Nothobranchius furzeri: one gene and its partner. The protein of the gene in region 2 purifies or fractionates together with the protein of the main gene of each other region. This does not show direct contact. Links are inferred from orthologs where the notes say so. Each region holds a gene or a part of one and is shown on either strand. Other genes may lie near its edges.

Region 1 (3,652 bases), on a different chromosome or scaffold from region 2:
CAGTGGTCTTTAGTAGGAATGAATGAATCATCTGTGTTCAGCCTACAAGCAGGACCCGGTGTCGGTTTCTCACCATGCTACGTAGACTGGACTCCAAGACTTTGGCCACAAACGGAACAACATACAGCAGCTCCTGCTGGCCTTTCACGTAGGCCTCCAGGAGCAGGGATTTGAGCTCCAGATCCTGAGAAGTACGTGTTTAGTATAATTATAGACCCCCCCAAAAAACACACACACACCATTTTACATGATGACCAACAAGCTTAAAGCCTATTCTTACTGTATAAAGGATCGGCTTGTTTTTGGCCAGCGTGATCATGCCCAACCAGTGACCCAGGTTCTTCAGCAACGAGCGATCAGAGAAGTTAGCAGCTGCCTTGTCTGACGTCAGAAGCACCTGTCAGGGACACACGTTATAAATGTCTGCTCATACCTGGATGCCCTATACATACATACCATCATCATTTTCACAGAACTGTCTGTTAAAACAGTAAAAAAAAACAAAGTACAAACCAAAATGAGATAAAAGGATGCCTTAAAAGTTTGTTTCTCGTTCATTACCTTAATGTTTCTGTAAGTTTCATTGAGAACCATCTTGACAAACTCTGGGTTCTTCAAAGTGTCCAGAAAGTTGGAGTAGAGGCTGTGGAAGTTGGGCTCAATGCTGACGCGCTTCATCACCAGGTACTGAGACACCCATGGCATGAACTCTTCTTTCACAGTCTCCTTCAGCTCCTCGACCTTTGAAAACATCAATGGTTATTTAGGGTTTTGGTGTTTAAACTCGTCTAATACAATAATGTTTTCCCTTACCTTCTGTGTCATGTTGGACTGAGACAGGTTGTTAAAGATGAACGCAATCTTCTCCTGGACGTTCTCTGGAGGTTCTACAATCCTTTCTGTTTGGTCAGTGGCCACCAGCAGGGTGTCGATGTTGGTAGTGTTTATGGAGGGCTACAAGTGTGGGAAATGAGCAGCAGACAAACCGTTAACGAGCAGAAATAAAACTCATGTGGAGGTTTCAGTCCAACACAAAGTCAAGCCTACAGGCATGTCCTTCTTGAAGCTGCTGGGAGTGGGTCTTGTGATAGTTGTCGTCTTGGCTGCCGTGGTTGTGGTGGTGGTGGTGGTGACGACGAGGGTGCTGGGCTGTCCAAGCTGAGGCGGTTTGAGGCCAGTAGGTTGTTGGACCTGGGCCTGAACTTGCGCCAGCGCCAGGCTTCCTGGTGTGGTGATGGAACCCTGCATCTTCACCGGAGGGTCCCGTGACTGTTGGCCATACTCGATATACTGCACGCACAAAACATTCCAAAAAAACAAAACTTTATAAATGGGGCACATTCTGTAAAATCACACCAAATAATGTTTTAAACAGACGAAGGATTAAGCAAACTCGATTACCTCCTGTAAATGGTGAGGGAATTGCAGGAAGTGAGCTATTGAAGCCAGGTGTTGACAATATTGAGGATAGTCCTTAAGTCTAGAAAAACAAACACATCAGCTTAAGACCGGATAAATCATATTAATGCTAATTTAACTAAAGAAAGCTCTCACTACCTGTTTTTGAACCTATCAAGGGCAGCAATCCCAAAGTAATACATTTTTGACCCATATGGTTTCCGTAAGGCTTCCAGAACATATCGCAGAGCCAGGCCCAGAGCCATGTAGGTGACCAGACCCTTCTCAATGATGCCCCCAAAGAGGCAGGCGGTGATGTGCAGCTCCTTGTCAGGGTACTGGGGGAAGAACCTGTACTCCTCAAACAAGTTACGAAGCATACAGTTGAACACTTCTCGCTCCCGTTTGATGGTTGAGTCTTTGAACCTCTGAAGCATCTCCAGCACCTGAACATCAGGGAAGTCGTGAGGATTTTAGATCTTGTCCACCTGAGACCGGGCTTAAACTCAGCAGCAAACTTACTTCATCTACAGACATAGTTGGGTGAGGTGGGTGGTTGTAGATCCGCTGGAAGTAACTGTTTGCTTCGTCGTCTATCTCCTTGCTAAAGTGCTGGTTTGCCTCAGGCCACACCTGAGAGAGATCCGCTGGAGGAGAGAAGGCACAGTTTTAGGATGTGCTCACAACAACGGATGAACATAAACATTCATAATGGACATCACTCAAGCTGATTTGGTTTTGTATAATTTTCATGAAAATGCTATTTTTAATTTAATGTAGTTTATTAAAGACCCTTTAGAAATATCAGACTGACAAAATTGAAATGGTTTAATTTTTAATAAAAAGGAAGAAACTGCCACTTAAACTGTTGAATTTTCAGTCTAAACAGAAACTCCTGTAAACCTTTTTGATGCCAGAAAACCAGAATAAACACACTGAAGTGGGGTCGTCAGCATAAGCAGACTGGTCTGTATTTCCTCTTCAAGTGTTTGATAGAAATGGACAAAATTTTGTCACAGATACTGAATTAAAGTATGTTGATTTTGAATTTTTATGGTGAATCACGAATAGTTAAATGTAGGAATCTTCAGTAATATTGTAGAGGAAATACAGTGCAGAGCGGCGCAGGGCGGGGCTCTCAGTCACACCTCCACCACCACCACTTACAGGCCTTCATCTTACTCTGCTGAAAGGTTTGTGGGTTCAAGGCCGATGTGCCGATCTTCCTGGTGCCGAATGGATCCGTGCTCACTGTGGGCATTCCCAGACTAAAGCCACTGCTAGAACTAATACCTGAGCCCAAAGAACCTGCAATGAAGACAAAAGGTTTCAGTTTACCCCAGCTCAGCCTATGACCTGTGACCCTGCTCAGATGTGAATGTTCCTCGTTACTGTATGCATCCAACAATCTAACATTTATGTCAGCTTATAAGTTATGTCAAATAATTCTTCTCATGTTTACTTAAACAGCGTCAGTGGAGTTGAGACTTCTAGGGTTAGCATGGACGCGTTTGTGTAAAAGGAAGGAATAAATCATAGTACCAGAGTCCATTCCTGTGAGCTGCAAGCTGGAACTGATTCCGCCAAACTGCGTGCTGGGATTAGGGTTAGGGAGCGGTGGGAAGGCTTTAGCAGGGGACAGAGGGTTATTGAGAGTTGAACTTATGGAAGGCTGGAAGCTCTGCATGCTCTGAGAGTGGGACGTAGCTGTTCCTGCCAGGCTCAAGGAACCAATCGCAGTCAGGTGGTCCATCTGAGGAACAGCATGAAGAAAATGGTTAAACAAGAGCAAGAGAGATGTTCCAGATTCAAAATACAGATTAGCTATGTCAAGGAATCATTTGGTTCACCTGCACAGGTGAGATGGCATCCAAGCTGCTGGTGCTGGGGGCGCGTCCTTTGGGCATAACCCCCGGTGGCGGCTGCCGAGCTTTGTTCATGGCGTTGTTACAGTTGGCAGCCATGGTAAGGATCGCCTCGGACAACTCCTGGGAAACACTCCTACACACAGAGAACAATATTTTTATAAAGGTAGACATAAACGGTTATTGTGCAAGAGTTCCCATTAGAAAACATTTCAAATAGTGGATTTAAAAAAAAGGGTTTTCAAATAAGAGAATTACGTAATCAATCACCGTATTAAAATCCTCACAGACAGAGCTATGATGTATGACCAGTAGTTGTCTGTGGTGAATAGAAGCAGCTGGAAGCACGTTTCTTCACATCAACAGGATCAGAACTCCTTCATTAGAGT
Region 2 (3,728 bases):
CACATTTGAGTGTTTTTGCTGTCGTTTTCACCAGACTTAAGAGATCGTTTGGTTTTGGCTGTGCATGCGGCTTATCGCCGATAGGGGGCGTTCAACGAACGCAGGTAAACGTGTGCTCGCCATGGTGCTCGCACACGCGCAGCCCTGAACGGTGTCGTGCTGAAAAAGAAAACCCTCGTCGCAGGACAAAATTTTCAAGGCACATGTTTTCTTCCTTACAGCAAATCATGGATGTAATTTTGGGGGAGGACAGGGGGGACATGTCCCCCCCACTTTTTCCAAAGCCAAGTTTTGACCCCTGCACTTTTTACCATCCAAAAGCAATATTACATTATATTAAATTGACACTGGTTGAGCTCTAGGACCAAGTAGAAACGTTTGTGTTGAAGCCTGTTTCCCATTAGAACATACTGTAAAGATCCCCCCCCCCCCCCGTGTCCCCCCCACATCTAAAGTGAAAATTACGTCCATGCAGCAAATTAAAAAGAAAAAAACGTAAAAAAAACATATTTCACACGTACACAAGTTGCAAACCTTATAAATATAGTAAATATTTAACGCAGTGATGATACCAAACAGAGTGGATAGTGGGTCCAACGCTGGCAGCCTATCCCTACTGAATGGTGATATTCGCTTTTCCTTTGTTTCTGAGGGTCCATTCTTATAAATAACAACGATTGCATAATAAGTTAAATGAAAATTTCAGTCCTGTTCATTTGCTTTCATTTTTATCTATTTTATGTGCGAATAAAGCCATCTAGAAATTCGCTTCGCGTAACTGGTTCCTTTTTACGGAAGGGTTGCATTTTTTGTCACAACACCAACCTTCAAGCTAGTCTGTCTTCGAATTGACAACCCCCTCCCCTAAGAGCAGCGAAGCTGCGCAGTCGACATGGCAGGAAAATATCGCAACAGTTTTGTAAAGAAAGATGAGATACTTCCAATTCATTTGGAATAAGTGAGTATTATCGACAAAATGTCGTCGGTATCATATCGGAAACTGATAGAAGCGCTGCATGATTAGTTAAAGTCACACGGACGCATAGCGATGGTTATTTGCTGTTAACATGGAGGAGCAACATTTGTTCATTAGCCAGCTAGCTGTCTCACTAGAAAAGCGTTCGAGTCAGCCGCTTTGGCCAAGACTATTTCTGTAGTTACCAAGTGTCGCCATTTAGTTAGTGGATCTTGTTAATATACATTTTTGGTAATATATCTACTTGTTAGTTTGAGATACTAGCGTTACATAATTATACAAGTCGAATGTTTTATTCGGTCTCTACTAGGTATCATTTCCTTGTATATTTATACACGAGTGGCAGCTGATGTTTTTGATATTGTAATAGCTGCACATGTGTGATTAGCGTTAGAAAAACTACTACATAATAGCGAAGAAACATCTGGTTCGAGATTGTTGTGAAGCGAATGTTTTTCATCCAACTACGTTTTGTTAGCTACGATTGTCAGCTAGCCACCCATAGCTTAGATTGCTAAAGTGAGCTAACGCATCGCCTAATATTACTATTTATATTGTCTTAAGTGGATCATTGTAGCACTTTATGCAAAGTTAACAATATATTCTGTTTATATTCAACTAAGTTTTCTCGAAGTAGAGTGTATCTTAACTATGTTAGCTTCATTGCGTTTGATAGCAGTGACTTGTAAGTTAGCTTCTTTCTGTACCCTTTGTCCAGAGAGGCTACAAGCTTCTTTAAGTAGGCCACACAGCTGTTGTTGTCGTTTGTTCAGTAGGCCTTGTTTTTAAATCATATTGTGTTTATTTACTGATATTTTAGTTGTTATTGCGAGTGTAAAATGGAAATTGCAGAAAAGAAGTCGACACAAAAGCATTAGCTGTCGACTTTGCCACCCTCTAGGTTAGAGCATTTTTGCTAGATGCATATATAGCCATCATGGTAATATTTTGATGGTTCATGTCGGCACATACAAAGATTACTAACGATTGTAAAGAAGCATTTGGCTCTTATTCAAAACAAGTTATTTCAAGAAATGTTTTTACAACTTTGATTCATTTTTTTCTTCTTTTACAGTATTCATCACGAGATGTGATCCAACATCCACAATGTGTGAGGACATTTAAGAACAATTAAGTTCGGAAAACAATCTCGATTCCAGTGGAATCTTCCATACATCTATATCTATATATAATTATTATATTTTTCTTTGTGTTAACTCCTAAATATACACGCACCCAACCCACCAACATATAATCATGCCAGTGCAAGCGCCACAATGGACAGAGTTTCTGCTGTGCCCAATCTGCACGCAGACGTTTGAGGAGACTGTTCGCCGGCCCATCAGTTTGGGCTGTGGACATACTGTCTGCAAGATGTGCCTGAACAAGTTGCACCGTAAGGCCTGTCCTTTTGACCAGACGGCCATCAGCACTGACATTGAGCAGTTACCTGTCAACACAGCCCTGTTGCAGCTGGTGGGAGGCCAGGTAAGACCAGAGTTCGTGTGTATTTGACATTTAATTACCATACAAGTGTAGTGATAGAAGCTTAGATAACCTGTGCACAGATCAGGTTATTTCCTTGTTATGTTTTGTTGTTTCCTTTTTGAGGTGCTTGTCATTTGTAGTCTGGTGCATGAGCTTTTTATATGGCTTTATGAGTTGCACGAGAGTTATTAAGCGGCTGCTTGAAATTAGTTTTACCGAGTGCTTCCTTCATAAGTAACTGTATTTCTTTTAGGTAATATTTGACCTGCAGGGCGAGTCCCAGTTGATGTTATTACCACAGTTTCCAGGTTTAGACTTAGTAGTAATGGAAAAGATCAGTGCATTGGCAATGAAGCTGAACCGTTCAATCGTTAGTAACGTAATGTTTTAACATGTTTTTACCTCCTTGATGAAAATAATATGCCAGGGGAGAAATCTTAAAATAATACCACTTTTTTTTAACTTTTTGTTTATGTCAAAATGTATGCTTTAAATTTAAGTCATTTTTATTATTTTAATTATTAGGTAGTTGTATTATCATCACTGTTCAGGAACACTGCAAGTTATAACTAAACCAATATCCAGGAAGTACCAGCAGTTGAGCAGATGCTGCTGCAGAAGTAAATGTTGGAAGATTTGGGAGACAGAAGACTCTGCGTGGTGGTTGTACTTTTAGTCCGAAAGTTTAGACATGGCTTCCTCAAAAGTGCTGGTCCTGTGGAGATAGGATTAACAGCACACCTTGTGTGCTTTGTCAGATTTCTCAATCCTGCGAGCATTCATTTCACCCAGAGGGAAACTCACAGCATGTGATCCTTTTGCACCAAGGGCAACAGAGCATCCTTCTGCACCCTGTGCCTGAAGGCCTTTAGTTAATAGTTATTTAGTGCATCATCAGCACTGATATAAGGAATGCATTCATGAGTCTAAGTCGGAGATGATGCCCACCAGCTTGTATGGTTGCTAATTAATAATCCACACTCTGCCAACATGGTGGACTGTGTTTAATAATAAACACCTCTCTGCATGAGGCATTCCCTCTTTTTTCTAATCCTGTGGAATATTGTTAATTTAAAAAAGCAAATCCTCTATTGTTTTAACAGCTATATGTGTGTATATAAGAAGTAAACAAGTGTTAAAGTATACTACATTTAGACCAATGGAAAACCATTTTTGTTTTTGAACAAAAAATTGTAATTTAGCATAAAATTGTGTTTGCATAACACTTCAAATACATTTTAAGTTTTATTATGATTAATGATGA

What was found. Proteins that work in one complex are often made in the same cells at the same time.
Region 1: the proteins of rc3h1b (region 2) and cnot1 purify together in Homo sapiens (affinity purification with mass spectrometry; 5 studies listed by BioGRID, with this or other methods). This does not show direct contact. The link is inferred for Nothobranchius furzeri from reciprocal best matches to the Homo sapiens genes RC3H1 and CNOT1.

What each region holds. Positions count from the first base shown.
Region 1 is NC_091744.1:81,584,601-81,588,252, reverse strand, and holds part of cnot1 (CCR4-NOT transcription complex subunit 1), read right to left. Parts: intron 3,400-3,652; coding exon 3,249-3,399; intron 3,152-3,248; coding exon 2,941-3,151; intron 2,707-2,940; coding exon 2,566-2,706; intron 2,046-2,565; coding exon 1,921-2,045; intron 1,845-1,920; coding exon 1,558-1,844; intron 1,481-1,557; coding exon 1,403-1,480; coding exon of another isoform or gene 1,402-1,402; intron 1,301-1,401; coding exon 1,048-1,300; intron 955-1,047; coding exon 814-954; intron 742-813; coding exon 562-741; intron 398-561; coding exon 281-397; intron 185-280; coding exon 74-184; intron 1-73.
Region 2 is NC_091751.1:54,522,551-54,526,278, forward strand, and holds the start of rc3h1b (roquin-1), read left to right. Parts: upstream 1-800; 5' UTR 801-958; intron 959-2,051; 5' UTR 2,052-2,233; coding exon 2,234-2,464; intron 2,465-3,728. UniProt on the Homo sapiens protein: Post-transcriptional repressor of mRNAs containing a conserved stem loop motif, called constitutive decay element (CDE), which is often located in the 3'-UTR, as in HMGXB3, ICOS, IER3, NFKBID, NFKBIZ, PPP1R10, TNF, TNFRSF4 and in many more mRNAs.